2 linked regions of the Arabidopsis thaliana genome follow. The protein of the gene in region 1 interacts with the protein of each later gene in a pairwise test. Each region holds a gene or a part of one and is shown on either strand. Other genes may lie near its edges.

What was found.
Region 2: the proteins of AT2G02160 (region 1) and AGL49 interact in a two-hybrid assay, tested with the Arabidopsis thaliana proteins (one large-scale study listed by BioGRID).

Annotation. Positions count from the first base shown.
Region 1 is NC_003071.7:550,376-559,823, reverse strand, and holds AT2G02160 (CCCH-type zinc finger family protein), read left to right. Parts: upstream 1-3,692; 5' UTR 3,693-3,924; coding exon 3,925-4,065; intron 4,066-4,451; coding exon 4,452-4,562; intron 4,563-4,659; coding exon 4,660-6,417; 3' UTR 6,418-6,738; downstream 6,739-9,448. Other genes in the region: AT2G02170 (Remorin family protein), read left to right, coding at 1,214-1,243, 1,426-1,570, 1,684-2,226, 2,309-2,762, 2,845-2,926, 3,023-3,229; EMB2794 (Tetratricopeptide repeat (TPR)-like superfamily protein), read left to right, coding at 7,199-9,448.
Region 2 is NC_003070.9:22,116,698-22,124,447, forward strand, and holds AGL49 (AGAMOUS-like 49), read right to left. Parts: upstream 3,233-7,750; coding exon 2,378-3,232; 3' UTR 2,277-2,377; downstream 1-2,276. Other genes in the region: UMAMIT35 (Nodulin MtN21 /EamA-like transporter family protein), read right to left, coding at 4,853-5,021, 5,360-5,511, 5,608-5,766, 5,933-6,194, 6,295-6,411, 6,652-6,714, 6,803-7,005. UniProt on the Arabidopsis thaliana protein: Probable transcription factor that may function in the maintenance of the proper function of the central cell in pollen tube attraction.

The sequences.
Region 1 (9,448 bases):
GGCCTTACTTATGGGCCTTCAAAGACAGCATGAGCATCCTATGGAGGCCAGGCCACCACTTTTTTTTCTTCGTAATGATAATATACTTTTTTTTGTGTGCCTAATTGTAAAATACTTCTATAGTCCTAATTAGAGGTGTCGAAATGATATGTTAGCTCATGAGATGAGTCAACTCAGCTTGGTTTTTTATCAGTATGAATGAAATTCATTTAATAGATGAGTTATATAATCAAGTATAATTTAGAGTACAAATTATATGAACGAGTTTTAACGAACATGAGTTAATTTATGAATTAGACATTTTAAAAAATTAAAAGAATATATATACATATATAACATATATAACTAAATACACTAATATATATTTTTTTGTTGCCAAATTGTAATATACTTCTATAGTTCTAATCAAGAAATAATGTTTAGTGAAAAATATATATAACCTAAAATCTAGTAAGTTTCTCAAAAAAAATTGCATTTTTGATATCGAATTTTTATCACTTTAGGTATCAACAAAAAAAATTAATTTGTTGTAAAATAATTTAAGTACAAATTAAGAAGTGCAAAAGCAAAACAGAATTAAATTAAGTAATTAACTAAAATAAGATGTGTTTTTTTGGGGGTCAAAAGTTAAGATTTTAATATTTTGAATTAATACTTTTTTGGGGGGTCAAGAATTACAACAAACTCTAGTCTATATAGAGAACTGACCAAATAATATAACTATAGTATTATTTGGGTAAAATTTCGATTCAAATAGCAAGTCCTGCGTTATAATCAACAACGAATTTGGATGTGAAGAATTATGTAAGATTTATGAACTATAGATCAAGATTATTGAATGTCCCTTAACTTCTTCTTTTTTTGGCAGATGGTACAACAGTTGCTTAACTTAAAGGCTCCATCACTGTGAATGTCCCTTATTTTGATGTCAGCTTAAGACCAAAAAAAAAAAAAACCAAAAAAAAGAAAAGAAAAGAGAGAAGCTTTGAGAAAGAAAGAAAGAAAGACACAGTGTGTATCAATCTCTGTACTTTCACAAGCTTCCAAGCTCTCTTATCATTCACTGTACTCTTCCTTTCAAATAATGCTTCTGAGTTCTGATAACACCAACAATCTACTACTACTATTATATTTTCTTACACATTTTGCATCACTCTTTTTCAGGATTTTTGGTTCTCGAGAAAAAAGTGAAGATTTTTGAGATTCTCTTTCGATGGATTACGAACGAATCGGAAAGACCCAGGTGAGAAAATGCTTCGGTTTCACGTTTACCGAAACTGGGTTTTGCGTAAAATTAGGGATATCAAAAGCCAGATTTGTCAATTTTCTGATTTCTTACTTCAAAGTACAAACTTTCCTTTTGCAAATCACTTCATCATCATCTCTGTTTTTGATTTGATAAACTCTGTTTCCTCCGATGAATAGGTTACTAGTAGCGGCGGCGGATTTTCTCCGGGGAAGTTAAGGAGTATGCTTCTTCTAGGTGTTGATAGAAAGAAGAATGAAGAAGAAGAATCAACTCCTACAATGAGATCTGGGTCTAATCAAATTGATGACCCTAGGGTTTATGGTGGAGCCCCTTAATCATTTCTTAATACTCTTTTTAATAACGCCTTTTGTCTCTATTTGAATCTAAAGTTTGCATCTTTTTTTCTTTGCTTTTGTTGTTTTCAAATGTTGTAGTTGCTAGTGGATTAGATGATTGCAAAGATGTTGATGTTGTGAGTGAGATTACTGATTGTTCTACTTCAGGGATAGCTAGATCGATTAGTTTGGGTCTTCAAGAGTATTCTGATTATGATAATGTGAATGAGATCAAGAGTGTTTCTGCATCATCTGTCTTTGAGTTTCAAAAGACTGAGAAGGAAAAAGTTAATCAAAGAATGCCTATTAGATCATTCTCTAAACCAGCTCCATCTAAATGGGATGATGCTCAGAAATGGATTGCTAGTCCTACGGCTAACCGACCGAAGACTGGACAGGTTCAGGTTCCGGGTTCGAAGAAAGGGCCTAGCTTTGGTCGTCAGTCTTCTATGAAGATTGTTGAAGTTGCTGAACATAGAGTGGTTGAAGAGCCTGATACAAAGAGAATAGATGTAAGCCAAGTGAAAAAGGATATGGGAAACAAGTTTGGTAGCTGGGAAGTTGATTCGTACACTACCGTGGATTCATATGTCAAACCGGTTCTTATGGTTGAGAACTCTATTGTAGAATCAGCAACTGAAGGTGGTGTTAGCTAGCTCTTTGAGTTATTCAGTTTGTATGCTCTATTTATCTTCTAAAGCCAATTTTACTTGCTTTCTTGCAGTTAATCTCAGCCGTCATGACTCGTCAGTCGCAACTGCGTTTGCTCAACCGCCTTCAACGGCAAGGTCTGTGTCAATGAGAGACATGGGAACTGAAATGACTCCTATAGCGAGCCAAGAACCTTCTAGAAACGGGACACCGATTAGGGCAACAACGCCAATACGAAGTCCTATATCTTCTGAACCTTCAAGTCCAGGCAGACAAGCATCAGCTTCTCCTATGAGTAACAAGGAACTGTCAGAGAAAGAGCTTCAAATGAAAACTAGGAGAGAGATAATGGTGTTGGGTACTCAACTTGGTAAATTTAACATTGCTGCTTGGGCTAGCAAGGAGGATGAAGATAAAGACGCATCCACATCATTAAAGACCAAAGCTTCTCTACAAACTTCTAAAAGTGTTTCTGAAGCTCGTGCTACAGCGTGGGAGGAAGCGGAAAAAGCTAAGCACATGGCTAGGTAGTCCAAAGTTGAATTGTTTGTCATAGTCCTCTAGTTATTCTCGAAACTTTAAGCTTATGATGAGTTCTGTAATCTCCAGGTTCAGACGCGAAGAGATGAAGATTCAAGCATGGGAGAATCATCAGAAGGCGAAATCTGAAGCCGAGATGAAGAAAACCGAGGTAAACTACACTAACATAGCTACGTAAGTTCAAGTCATGATTGTGAACAAACTTGGAAAAACATGAATGATGATGGTGGAGTTCTTGATATTGTAGGTTAAAGTTGAGAGGATTAAGGGACGAGCACAAGACCGGTTGATGAAGAAACTCGCTACAATCGAGCGCAAAGCAGAGGAAAAGCGAGCAGCGGCTGAAGCAAAGAAGGATCATCAGGCAGCTAAAACAGAGAAACAAGCTGAACAAATCCGAAGAACAGGCAAAGTACCTTCATTGTTGTTCTCTTGCTTTAGCTTTTGTTCTTAAATCCAATCCTATTGTGAATGTGATGTTGTTAATTCTCAAGAACACATCTTTCTATCATCATTTGTATAATAAAAGCTTTGAAAAACTTATTTCTTGTGATCTTTTAGTTGCTTTGTACATCTTCAAATTTTGGTTTTGAGAGATCTTCGAATTACTCGGTTCAAGATGTCCTTACCAAAGTGAAAACCAAAGTTTTGATTTTGGTTTGGATTTAATTTTGGTTAGATTTCCTTACCAATGTTTGATTGTAAAAGATCTACCAATCGGTTTACAATTTTGGTTCAAGTTCGGTTTAAATCACCTTATCATTGTCTATTTCACAACATTCCAAAGTCGCTGGTTCCATCAGAAGTTATAATATCAAGGCAAACAATATGGCTAACAAATAAACCAATAATAAATCCCCACGTGTCAGTATTTGATTGATTACAAATAAACCGAACTTGATCTATTGATATTTCCCATCACATAAGAAAAAAAAAGAGCCAAAAAAAAAAACTTTTAGGCTTAGCTTTAAAGGGCACACACACACAGTCGCGAGTTTCTCTCTGGTGCGCTCTTTGTGGCGGCTCGTCTTCTTCTTCTTCTTCCACGGGACTCTCTCTGAATCGGTGATTTTCGATCTTCCTAGGGTTTCGATCTGAAACCTTGCGATCTACTTGAAAGAGAGATTCAGAAATTTCCAAGTAATAATAATGTTTGCGCCTGCGACTCAACCGCAACAGCAACATGAGCAGAAGAAGCAATCAGAGACTGTTTCATCTGCTGAAGAAGATGCTTTGAAGTGGAACACCGATTGCGTTTACTTTCTCGCTTCTCCTTTAACCTGCAAGAAGGTAATTGATTTTTGATTATTGTTTCGCTTAGATCTTATCCAGTTTCTGCTTCAATTAGGGTTTTGGATTTGAGATCTCAAGTTTCTTTCACCCGATTTCAAGTTTCTCTGTGTTTTTGTGTCCCTCGAAGCTATCTATACATACTTCACTTCTCCATCTGCTTAATTTTGGTGCGAGATTTAGATCTGGTGATTTCGAACCTCGTGATTCTAAGTATTGTTGTTTCTTAGGGCTTCTTGTTAGCTAGATTGAAAATTACATATACAAAGCTTTATAAGGATGTTCTGATAAAGGAGATTTTCATGTTCTGTGAATATGATTTTTGCTCGATGTGTATGTTTATGCTGAAGAACGATTCTTATGGTTTCTTCCTTTTTTGCTTACAGGGACCTGAATGCGAGTATCGCCACAGTGAGTATGCGCGTATGAACCCGAGGGATTGCTATTATTGGTTGAATGGAAACTGTTTGAATCCCAAATGTGGATTTCGGCATCCTGTGAGTTTACTTTCTTCCTCAATAGATAGTCTCTGCTTGAGCTTCTTGAGTTGTATTATCAAAGTGTGCTTATGTTTGTGGTTTTGTTTTCTTACAGCCTTTGGAGGGATTGTTGGGAAATCAAGGAGGTGCTCCTGCTGTTTCTGTACAGCCAATACATGCAACCGCGCAGCATCCTAGTGTTGCAAAACAGCCTGTTCCATGTCTGTTCTTTCAAAAAGGCATGTGTATGAAAGGAGATATGTGTTCGTTCTTGCACACGCCGAATCCTGCTGCGTATAAAAAACAGCATCCTGTAGAAGCTAAGCCTGCTACTGATCCTCAGTGTTCTAAAAAGCCAATTGAAAATAACACTGAGGAGAAGAAACTTCCTGATGTTAATCTCTCAAAGGTGGTTAAAGGACATACTGACATATCGGCTGCACCAAGAGTCGCTTCTACTGGACTAAGGGATAGTAGAAGTGTAGAGGGATACATTCCAAACCATGTGGGATATGAGCCTGTTGTGCAGAGAAAGGGTCCAGGATTCCCTTCTTTTACTGAAGGAGGCCATTCTACTCAGTTGCTTCAGAAATATGGATCTGATGATAATAACAGTTTCCACAATGGTAAGGATGCAGATGACGTTTTAAGAGAGTCGTCTCCTGGGTTTGATGTTCTTGTGGATAATGAGGCTGGAGATTCTGAGTATTATCATGTTGAAGATCGATATGGACGTAGAAGTCAGGAGAGAGGGAACTCAGAGTATGACCCTGATTTCAGTGCAATTGCTGATGGTGATAAAGAAGCATTACGTGAACAACGTTTTGATTCATATGATCGGAGGGAAGACAGGGGATGGGGCCATCGTCGAGTTTCTTCTGAGAGAGAGGATCGTTTGGACAGAAGGGTTTACGCAGAAGATGAGAGATCAGAGAACATACTGGAATCGGATCTGAGATATCGTTTGGCTAAGCAGAGAAAAGGCAATGGTATGAGATTATCAGTAGGAGGCCATGACTATGCTGCTCCTGACTCTTCGATGGACAGAGGATATAGAGAGTCTCGTAGGGATACACCGAGGGAAAACTCCATTAGCAGTAGTCGTCTTCAGGGTAGAATTAAGCTTCGTGAGAGAAGCAATGGCGAAGAGGGTCACCACTTTGACAGGAGAAGTGAGAGGGGAAGGGACAGAAGCGAGTTACCTTCTCAGGGTAGACTCCGAGATAGAATTAAGGGTAGGTTAGAGGAAAACCATAGTGGTAATCAGGAAAGAGGTTTCGGGGCTCCATGGGCGAGAAGAAGAGAAATGGAAGACGAAAGAAAATCAGCTCCTAAAAGCAGCAGAGAGGAAAGTAAGCCAGAGCCATCTCTTGGGAAGAGGAAAAGCTTTGAAGAGGATCATCATAGTCATAAGCGATCAAGGGATTCATTTGCAGCTCCATTGCCTTTCAGTGAGATTCTCAAGAGAAAAAAAGCGGCCGCATCTGGTGGTAGCAGAAACAACAACAAGGACGAGACGATATCGAAAGAGGAAGCTGGAGATGAGATCAAACTCATAACCGAAGAGAAAACCGAGGTTGTCTCTGAACCCAAAGCTGAAGTAGAAGAAGAAGGAACGGTTATGGAGGAAGAAGAAATTGTTGGGGAGGAAGTGTATGAAGGAAATGAAGACGAGCAAGCTTATGAAGGCGATGAGCTAAACGGAGAGTACTATTACGAAGAAGGATATGAAGAAGAGGGAGGAGAATACGCTTACGAAGAAGGTGAAGAAGTAGTTTACGCGGCTGAGGAAGGAGAAGAAGAAGCAACAGAAGGAGGTGAAGGTGAGGGTGAAGAAGACATTGAGAAGAAGACCGTTGAGATGTTGTCATAAAAGAAGAAAGAGTAACACAGAAAAAAGCTTTTGCTCCTTTCCTCTCTCTCTCTCTCTCTGCTTAATGCAAATGGAGAGAAGAAGTCGTAGAGCAAATAATACGAGTCGCTTTTATCTTTGGCTTGGCACTGAGTTTTAGTCGCCATTTTTTCTTACTGTGATTTCTTAAATTGTAACACTAGAGAAGAAAGAAAAGAAACAATGGTACAAGTACACCATATCATATTTCTGAGTTTTACTGTTTTCTAATCTGTTTTGATATATTACTTTTTCCTCAAATTAAAAAGTATTTACAGTAAATAACTTATTTTAGCTTTTAACACCTTTTATCATTATTGTTTTTGCACTTGCATACCATGAATGATGTAATACCACTTTAGCATTATTGTTTTTGCCCTTTCCATAACATGAGTAATTATGTAACTGATTTCCACCAATCAACTTTAAAGTATTTACGAATTTAGTCGACCAATCTAATTAACCCTGAGTTAAAAAATGTTATGAGAAAAAGAAGACTGGGCCCAGAATTATAACTTTTGGGCCTATGTAGCCCGTTTCCAAAGGCCCATAAATCATTATTTTACAAACAAGAACAACAACAGGTAAAGAAATAGACTTGGTGGAAAAAAGCAACAAAACCCAGAGTTCTTCATAAACCCTACTTTCTTCTTCTTCTTCTCCTTCCTTCCTCTTCAGTAGAATAGTTGAATACCATAGAATACAATGTCTCTGAGTTAAACCATGAGGCTCATTCTATTCACTTTTAACTTTTTTCCTGAAAATGTTCTGTTCTCTTCGCAATTTTCTTCACGTTAATCGCAGATTCCCTCGCCATGTAAGCCCTTCTTCTTCTTCCCTCTCTCAAATCCAATCACCTCTCTGTTTCCCTCTCTCTTCTCCTTCTCCTTCTCAATCTTCCTTTATCTCTTGCCCTTTCGTTTGGTTCACTAGTTTTCTCTGTATCATTCGATACCCTTTCGTTACCAAAAGCGGTACTTCTACTTATTCCGAAGATTTTGATAGAGATTGGATCCGTAAAGTTGTTCACAATGATCTATGGGATGATCCTGGACTCGAAAAGCTTTTTGATTTGACATTAGCTCCGATTTGGGTTCCAAGGGTTCTCGTTGAATTGAAAGAAGACCCTAAATTAGCTTTCAAATTCTTCAAATGGTCGATGACTCGTAATGGGTTTAAGCACTCTGTAGAATCTTACTGTATAGTAGCTCACATTCTGTTTTGTGCTAGAATGTATTATGATGCTAATAGTGTCCTTAAAGAGATGGTTTTGTCAAAGGCGGACTGCGATGTTTTCGATGTTCTGTGGTCTACAAGGAATGTGTGTGTACCTGGTTTTGGAGTGTTTGATGCTTTGTTTAGTGTTTTGATTGATCTAGGAATGCTTGAGGAAGCTATTCAGTGTTTCTCTAAGATGAAGAGATTTAGAGTTTTCCCAAAAACTCGGTCTTGCAACGGTTTATTGCATAGGTTTGCGAAATTAGGGAAGACTGATGATGTGAAGAGGTTTTTCAAAGACATGATTGGTGCTGGTGCGAGACCGACTGTGTTTACTTACAATATAATGATAGATTGTATGTGTAAAGAAGGAGATGTTGAAGCTGCTAGAGGCTTGTTTGAAGAAATGAAGTTTAGAGGGTTGGTTCCTGACACTGTTACATATAATTCTATGATTGATGGTTTTGGGAAGGTTGGTCGATTAGATGATACGGTTTGCTTTTTCGAGGAAATGAAGGATATGTGCTGCGAGCCTGATGTTATAACATATAATGCATTGATCAATTGTTTCTGTAAATTCGGGAAATTGCCTATAGGTTTGGAGTTTTATAGAGAGATGAAGGGAAATGGGTTGAAACCGAATGTTGTGAGTTATAGCACTTTGGTTGATGCGTTTTGTAAAGAGGGTATGATGCAACAAGCCATCAAGTTTTATGTTGACATGAGAAGAGTTGGTCTTGTGCCTAATGAGTATACATATACTTCCCTCATTGATGCCAATTGTAAAATTGGTAATCTCTCTGATGCTTTTAGGTTAGGGAATGAGATGTTGCAAGTGGGTGTAGAATGGAATGTGGTCACTTACACTGCGCTTATTGATGGCCTTTGTGATGCGGAGAGAATGAAAGAAGCTGAAGAACTTTTTGGAAAAATGGATACAGCTGGGGTGATTCCAAATCTTGCAAGTTACAATGCTCTGATTCATGGATTTGTAAAAGCGAAAAATATGGACAGAGCATTAGAGCTTTTAAACGAATTGAAGGGGAGAGGTATTAAACCGGATTTGCTGCTCTATGGAACGTTCATTTGGGGTTTGTGCAGTTTAGAAAAGATAGAGGCTGCTAAGGTAGTGATGAATGAAATGAAGGAATGTGGGATCAAAGCGAATTCGCTGATTTACACAACGTTAATGGATGCGTACTTTAAGTCGGGAAACCCAACTGAGGGATTGCACCTACTGGACGAGATGAAAGAACTTGATATTGAGGTCACAGTTGTTACCTTTTGCGTTTTGATTGATGGATTGTGCAAAAACAAGTTGGTTTCTAAAGCAGTTGATTATTTCAATAGGATAAGTAACGATTTTGGTCTACAGGCTAATGCAGCGATATTCACAGCGATGATTGATGGTCTCTGTAAAGATAACCAAGTTGAGGCTGCAACAACTCTTTTTGAACAAATGGTTCAGAAGGGGTTAGTTCCTGACAGAACGGCATACACATCGTTAATGGATGGCAACTTTAAGCAAGGGAATGTGCTAGAGGCTTTGGCTTTACGAGACAAAATGGCTGAGATTGGTATGAAGCTTGATTTGCTTGCTTACACTTCATTAGTCTGGGGGTTATCGCACTGCAATCAGTTGCAAAAAGCGAGATCCTTCCTCGAGGAAATGATCGGGGAAGGAATTCACCCTGATGAGGTCTTGTGTATTAGTGTCTTGAAGAAACACTATGAGCTTGGATGTATAGATGAAGCTGTAGAGTTGCAGAGTTATCTGATGAAGCATCAACTTTTG
Region 2 (7,750 bases), on another chromosome or scaffold:
CAGAGATAGGTTGAGTCTTTATGCTGGAATCTTGAAGAACGAGTTAAGTTTGTAGGAGCTTGGAAGATAAAATCCAAACCTAGACACCGAAAGTGAAAAAGGGTTTAAGAAATGAGAGTGAGAAAGTGAAAGAAGACGAAGATGAAGCTAGAAAAAGAGAAAGACATTTGTCGGGGAATTTAAGTAAGAAACCGTCAATATAAAGCAAGAACGTCAAAAAGTTGATTTTGCGCGTTTTCGTTTAAAGACCTTTGAGAAGAAAGAACCACTTGGAGGACACGAAACCTATAAGAAAAATAAAAGCTTCAATGTGAAGAGGAAGAGGAAAAGAGCTATTTTTATAAATTACTTTTAAATTCTAGTGAATATAATATAGAACAGCATAAATTGTGAAACAAAGAAATAGGTAAATAAATTTACAAATACAAACAAAAGTATTAAATTTTAGTTTTAATATAGAGTTTGTATATTTATAGCAACATCACCTAACTTAAGGACCACATTTAAAGTATATTATAAATCGTATTTGATATCAATAAAACAAGAGATTTTGGAAACACGCATAAATAGTATGTATACTGATTCAGACAGAATGAAACACAAAAATGAATATCTTCTTTGCTCAACTCTCTTCCATTAATCACAAATATCAAGATAGAAATTCACATTTAATCGCTAAAATCACGTTAAATACAGAAGCTTGACAAAGTTTTTAGGAGAAATAATGCAAGAACACTTTGAAAGACAAAAGTTAAGAAAGTCTGGACGTTACAAATAAAATGTAATAGAGGGAACTAGAGATCGATAACTCGACGGTAAAGAAACTTGAAAATATTTCAAGAGTTGACAGAATCGAGTGATAGTTGTTGGTACGGATAAAATATTCAAAAAATATTATGTGTTTAGAAATTGTATGACCGTCAATTTAGAACCTAGTTAATCAAAAAATTGTAATTGAGGAAAAATGAAATAAATTCAACAGTCGCTTCTTTCACCTTTATATACTTTAGCATAACGTAAAGTCGAAGCAATCCGTAGACATGCATACTTCTCTTCTACCTTTAATGACTCCATCCCCACACTTTACTCTATTAATACTATATACTTTTCTAAATTGGAACCATATTGAATGGGGTTATAATCAGTTTTGGGATGTTTTTATTTAGCGTAAAACTCTACCTTACTACACCACAAGTTACAACCACTTTGACTTTTGAAACTTTACAAGTAACAGTATTATTAAGGGAGGACTTTTCACTTGAAAAATTTGACAAATCATTGCTCTGTGAACATCAGTACTTAAAACTTTTTAGTTTTTGTGTTTTGGCTGAAAAATAGACCAACGGAGTTCCAGAAGAGACGGCAAGTTCTTCAACTAGCTGACGTTAGTCGTCGGTTCGACAGTACTAGCAGTCGCTAATTGATAGTATACTGTATATAGTTTCACAACTAACTGTTATTTTTTGGGGACTTACTGTTAGTTTTGTCTTTAGATAATTTAGAAAAAAAAAAAAAAACTGTTAGCTTTGTCATTGGCAGCTGCTAGTCACTCACCATTAGCTAATATTTTTGCAAGAACGTCTGCCAACTTTTCATTGGTAACTACTAGTCGTCACGTTCTAACAGTTACTTTAGGGAGAACATGTGCCAATTTTTATCTCAAATTTTTTAAAACTTGTGGTAGTGGCCAAATCAGTGGCAATCAAATAAATAGCATATAGAGTAATAATTATATTGCATCGCAAGCCTTGTAGAATTGAAGTTTTGGGGATTTGATTCATGGATATGCTTATGAATTTGATCGTGAACAAAGCTTATATGTAGTTTCATGGGTACTTTATTTTGTGTTTACGTCACAAGTTGATCAGTTGAGTTACTCCACTGAAGTTCGTTCTAATTATGAGAATGCTGATTAGGAATGTTGACTTGGTAAACACGAGGTCGAGGGACAGAAAGACTTGCTGAAGCAAACACTAGATTGACATAAAGAACGTGTCATCCGTCATTAAAAACAAGGCATCTCCAAGACTTGACAGTGAATTAACATCTGAACAAGTATGTATAACTTTCATTCCCTGCTCTAGAAGCTTTAACGAGTTGTGCAATTTAGGTTATGAACTCTTTGTTTCTTGCATGGTTTACAACGTTTTGTTTATCTGATAAGTTGGTGTTGCAGTCAAAATAGGGTTACAGAGAAAGAATAACAGAAAGAAAGGAAAAGTTTGATTAATCAATAATAAACAAGAAAAAAAACTACCAACTTTACAAACATGGATTTGTGTTGGAGCAAACATACAAGTTAAGAGATACTAAAAAATGATCAATCACCGAGAAAAGGTGAAAGAAACATGATTTCACTAACGTAGTCATCAAGTTATCAAATTGAAATCATATCGGAGCTCATCGTTTGGCAAGTATTGGTGGTCATGAGAGGATCGCTAAATGTATGAAGTGGTGGTAGTCTTGAGGCAAACTCCAGATCCCAAACATGATCATCACAAAAATTCCCTAGATTGTAAGTTTGGTAAAGTTCTGCCGCCGCCTCCTGAAGATAATTACCGCCGAAAGTGCCAAGATGATCCATTCCCGTGTAAGCTGCATCTTTTGATTCGTAATTGGAAACATTCTCGTTCAAATTCCTTGACCCGCGGACCACGTAAGCCAACTCGTCAAATACATCACACGAACCCAGCTTCTTATCTGAAACCCTAATTAGATGATCTTCTGACAATATATCCGTCAAATTAGGCTCTATCTTCAACTTGTGATCGGAGATGGCCGAGTTCTCTGAAACCCTTGCACCATCTTTTTCGGAAGAACCCGTGAGCGTCTTCTTAAGAATTTCTATCTTTTGTTCCCTGACTCCAAGTAATTGAGAGTCAAGGTGAAGGAGATGCTTCCTTAACTCCTCACGAGACAAACCCTTGAGATGATGAGGGAAGTCATTGAGATCACATGCATGATTCTTCCTCCTCTCATCACTCAAGGCATTGAACTTGGCCACGATCTCATGTAGGGCTTGTGGGTTATGATCTTGAGACTGAGGCCAAACATGGAGATCGTTGTCGGGACCGTAACAGATGAAACCGACAGAGTTGCCGCAGAGAACAGAGAGCTCTGAGGCTTTCTTCTTAAAGCCTGGAAATCTCTGTTTGAAAAAGCTCTGTTTCTTCCTATGCAAATCACCATCATCATCATCGGACTTGTTAGGTTTCTTCTGACGAGGAGCCATCTTTTGAAAGAGAGAGAGAAGATGAAACTTTGATTAAATCGTGAGAGAGAGATAAAAAGCAGAGAACTTTCGATCGTAATGGGAAGTGCAACGAGAAGGCTATGATGATTCTTTAATATATAGAGACTTAGAAGATTAGGTTTCCTCAATCCCACAACGGTCATAATTTGGTGAAAATGCGTAAAAAATCATATCTAATATGCGCGTCCGAAATCTTGTGAGGTCTTTTCATTAGATCTCGTAGTGATATTTTCCTTTTTTTGCTTCATCCTATTTTATTTAGTTTTTATGAAACGCGTAACTGTATTTTTCCTCAATTAATTGCCAACAAATATTTTATAAATCGACGCAGTCTTCTTAAGTGGTTTTGTCAATTTTATTATTTGGCTTAAGTCAATTATTTTTATTTACCTACATATTTGCTTTAAAAAGTAATAACATTTACACATGGTCTCAATAATTGGATTTGCCCAAAAAAAAAAGGTCTCAATAATTGGACAACACAAAGCAGAACATAAACACAACTGGTCATATACGTTAAACCTTAATTAACTCACAACTCATGTAATTGGTAAAAACCTGAGAGACGATTGATTTTCCCAATTTTTCAATAAGAACACTGCTTTCAGAGATAAGATCCCACAAACCGTCCAACATACTCTTCAAACCCTAGGAATTCTAGAATCGAAATTAAGTTGGATTGATAGAGAAATAGGGTAATTCGAGTCCAACGCCTTCGAAATCAAGAATTCCTCTTACCTAATTTCTCCTTCAATACAACTTATAATTTGGCAACTAATTGAGTGCATAATTACCCTCCAAATGCTTAGAGATAATTTTGTTAGTTATTCTAAGTTAATGACTAAACAAATGTGTCTTTTTAAGAAAAGTTCGTAGAAAAGCTTTTTGGTTAGTCTGTTTCGGGTTTGAATTCATGTCTTCAACCAAACTCTCCACAACTGGTTTGTGTCTGATTCAGCATTCACCTCGGTTTTGGATTTTATTCATTTTTTTTGCAGATGCGGTGGGTGCTGCAAAAAGATGTAGCTAATTGGATGTTAAACAATTTTGACTGTTTTAGTAGCTATATATCAAAAACATTAACCACAATTTGTTTTCATGGTCATTTATGGTTTTTTTTCTATTTGAACTGTTTTTATTGTAGTTTGATTATATCGAATGAGTTTTGGTTGGGTTCAGTGTTTGTGAAAATTCTCTTGGAACTGATATAAATTACTAAATTAGATCAACCGGATCATTCCCGTTTATAGTGAGACGAATGCCAAAGATGGACCTTCAAGTAGTTTCATATAAGTAACAACTATTTACTATTTAGTCCTCATTTGAGGTTGCATATATGATTGCATCGTGAGTTTTATTTGGATAAAAAGTAAAACTTATATTTTTTTCGTTTTATTTTAACTCATAATTTACTTTTAATTTTGATAGACTTTGATACATTCCTCTCATACAAAAAAACGTTACAAGACTTTATATATATATTTGTTTTGCTTCACACACATATGTTTTTTTTTATATATAATTTCTTCGATTTACTTACCCTTAATTTATGTTTAACATAACACAACTAAACACATTAGGCGAACAACCATTTCTGAATTAAACTTGATCAAAATCACCATTCGCGAGCAAAAGTGGAGTTGTCTGTTCATCTGAATCCAATTGATGATTATCGTTTTTCTCCACCGTTTCATTTGGATCATCTTTTTGAACTTGACTCCACATTATCAATAGATATCCAGTTCCTGCTATAGCAGCTCCTAACACACTGTTCACAAGAAGTTCACATTTAACAACCTGAACATATCATATTCAAATCGAAAATTGATATGTAAACTAAAAAAAAAAAAATTGGTTTGAACTTTTTTACTTATTTTAAAATATGAAAAAATCAAAAAGGAAACTAAGGGACAACTTAAATTTTTTATATAACACATTAAGATATGTATATAATAAAATTTGAACAGGAATAAAAGTCATATCAAACATATATGCATATTTGATTTGGTATTAAGCATTTGGGTTAAAAATAAATGAACGCATGTAACTAGAGAATAATTTGAGTCTCTTCGTTGTTTAAATATAACTTTCGAAAATTATATTTACCTTCCATAGTGAAGACTATTGACAAAGAAGCTTGTGCCAAAAATGGAAGCCCAAAGGATCCCAAATGGCTTGAAGAGTGGCACATAATAAGGCCCCTTCATTTTGGAGCACTTCACTTGAACACTTGTTCTGATTATGCTCCCAAATATTCCCTATAAATGAACAATATATATGATTATATATACACATCCTCAGATTACGAAATACATACTATATAGTAATTATAATATATGATCACATAGATATACCGTGGCAATAATGAGATATAGGTCCATGTTAAGTTTGAGTTCCCATGCACTTAGGTCTGGCTCCATGAACGCTGAGAAGATTGCACATTGGAGTGTCCCAGCTAAACTATAGGCAGACACTACTTTCATCACTTGAGGATATTTTTGGACTGTATCCAACTGATATACCGAATAACATAACCCGACCAACAAAAACAAAAAAAATAATTAATAATTAAAACGTGTATGCATTACTTAAGAATCAAGTTAAGACGTGTGTAGATTCATCTACAAATGATAATATTTGTTTTCGAAAATCGATATCTTGAAACGTAATTTTGATTACCTGTATAATATTCCAAATGGAGATGGAGAGCGTGGCGCATGCAAGGAGGAGAGAGCCGAGAGCCCAATTGTCAGAATTTTTGAAGAAAGTTAAGTAGTGTGAGATTGTAGTAAGGAAATTGGAGGTTGGGGATGAAGGAGGAGAAGGTCTTATAAAAGGTCCTAAGTAAATAACTTCAACAAAGGCTCCTGTGAAACATATCAACGTGCCTATCACTCTTCCTTTTGTTCTCTTACTTGCCCATCCTAACCCTCCTTCCTTACTAATTTATATTCAAAATTTATTGAAATCATTGTTAGTTATAGTTCAATTATAAACATAGCTAAAGAAATTTAAATTTTAATAGAAGTAATTTAGTTTACCCAAGAGCAAGAGATAGCAAGAAGGAGAAAGCAGGTGACTGCAAGCCCATGGCACATACCACAATTGGAGAGCTATAACTTAGCCCCAAAAATGCCATGTTCTGGAACAAAAACACCCTGTTCAAGAAAAATATTAATTTAAGAATCTAAACTCTAATATAACTATTTAATTATGAAATCAGGTGTTCCAATTTTTTTTATTTAATTACTATTTTTTTTAATTATTACAGCTATTACAGTCCCAATATATTTAGTTATTGAATGAAATTGGGAGATAAATAGGAATGCAAAATATATCATTGAATCTTATGTAAATAGATAGACAATGATATATATAAAGTTTTAAAGGGAACTAACCCTGTAAAACCGAGTAGGAAGATACGAACAAGGGAAGGTTTCGTGAGGAAGGGTTCATCGTCACTGTAAACAAATTAGAACATCTATATCATCATAATATCTCAAATTGAGAAAGCCATGTATAAACACATAGATCATGCTTTTTAAGTACCTTTCATCTCTATGGAAGTAGAAAGAGTAAGGGAGGAGAAGGAGAGAGCCAAGAGCGTTGGTGTAGACGATGAACACGAAAGGGCTCATGCCACCGGTCAGTGCGGTCTTAGCCAAGATGGTGAGTGCAATGGTACATGCCTCCATCAACGCCATAACAATAAATGGAACTATGGTTTCCCATCTTGTATCCATTAATCCCATTTCGTTTGTGTGCGGCTTATGTTGATAATACACAGCCTTGGATGAGCCGAAATTTTGTTGATCTCTGTCTCTCTCTCTCTTTCTCTCTCGGAGAAGATGAGAGACCAAGTCCACAACAAAACTTTGTTAGGTTGTCTACTTGTCTTGCAATTAAAATGTTAGTGTGTCTTCATTAATATTTATATGTGTTTGCATGTGAGTGGAGGGCCAAATGAAGAAGAGGGTTTTTCTAGACGTGGAGAGAGTCATTAGTTAGCCTTTGGAGAGGTGATGAAGCTAATAATTTGTTTCGCCTCATCTCTTATGACTAATATATCTAAATAGTTTTCTGTTGGACAAAATAAGAACATTCCCTTCTATTTTAAAATATATGCAAATATGAAAAGAATAAATCAAATTTTGGTACACAACAACATTCCACAAACAAGGAAACAATCCTAAACAAGACTTATTTCGTTTTTTTTTTCTACGTATCATAATTATTTCTACAAAAAAATATTCATTTAATTCTACAATATTTTAAAACATCATTTATAAAAATAGACATGGAAAAATGTTTAATACTACTTTTTATTGGATTTATGTTTCATTTATATAGATAACCAAAATATGATGCTTTTCTTAATGTATATAAAAATATTAATTAGTGGACAAATATCCTAATGCAACTATTTACGTTTAATCTTGTTCGGATATAATACCAAGTTTCTGGAAGAATTGGGCTTAGTATAATGAAAAACTGAAA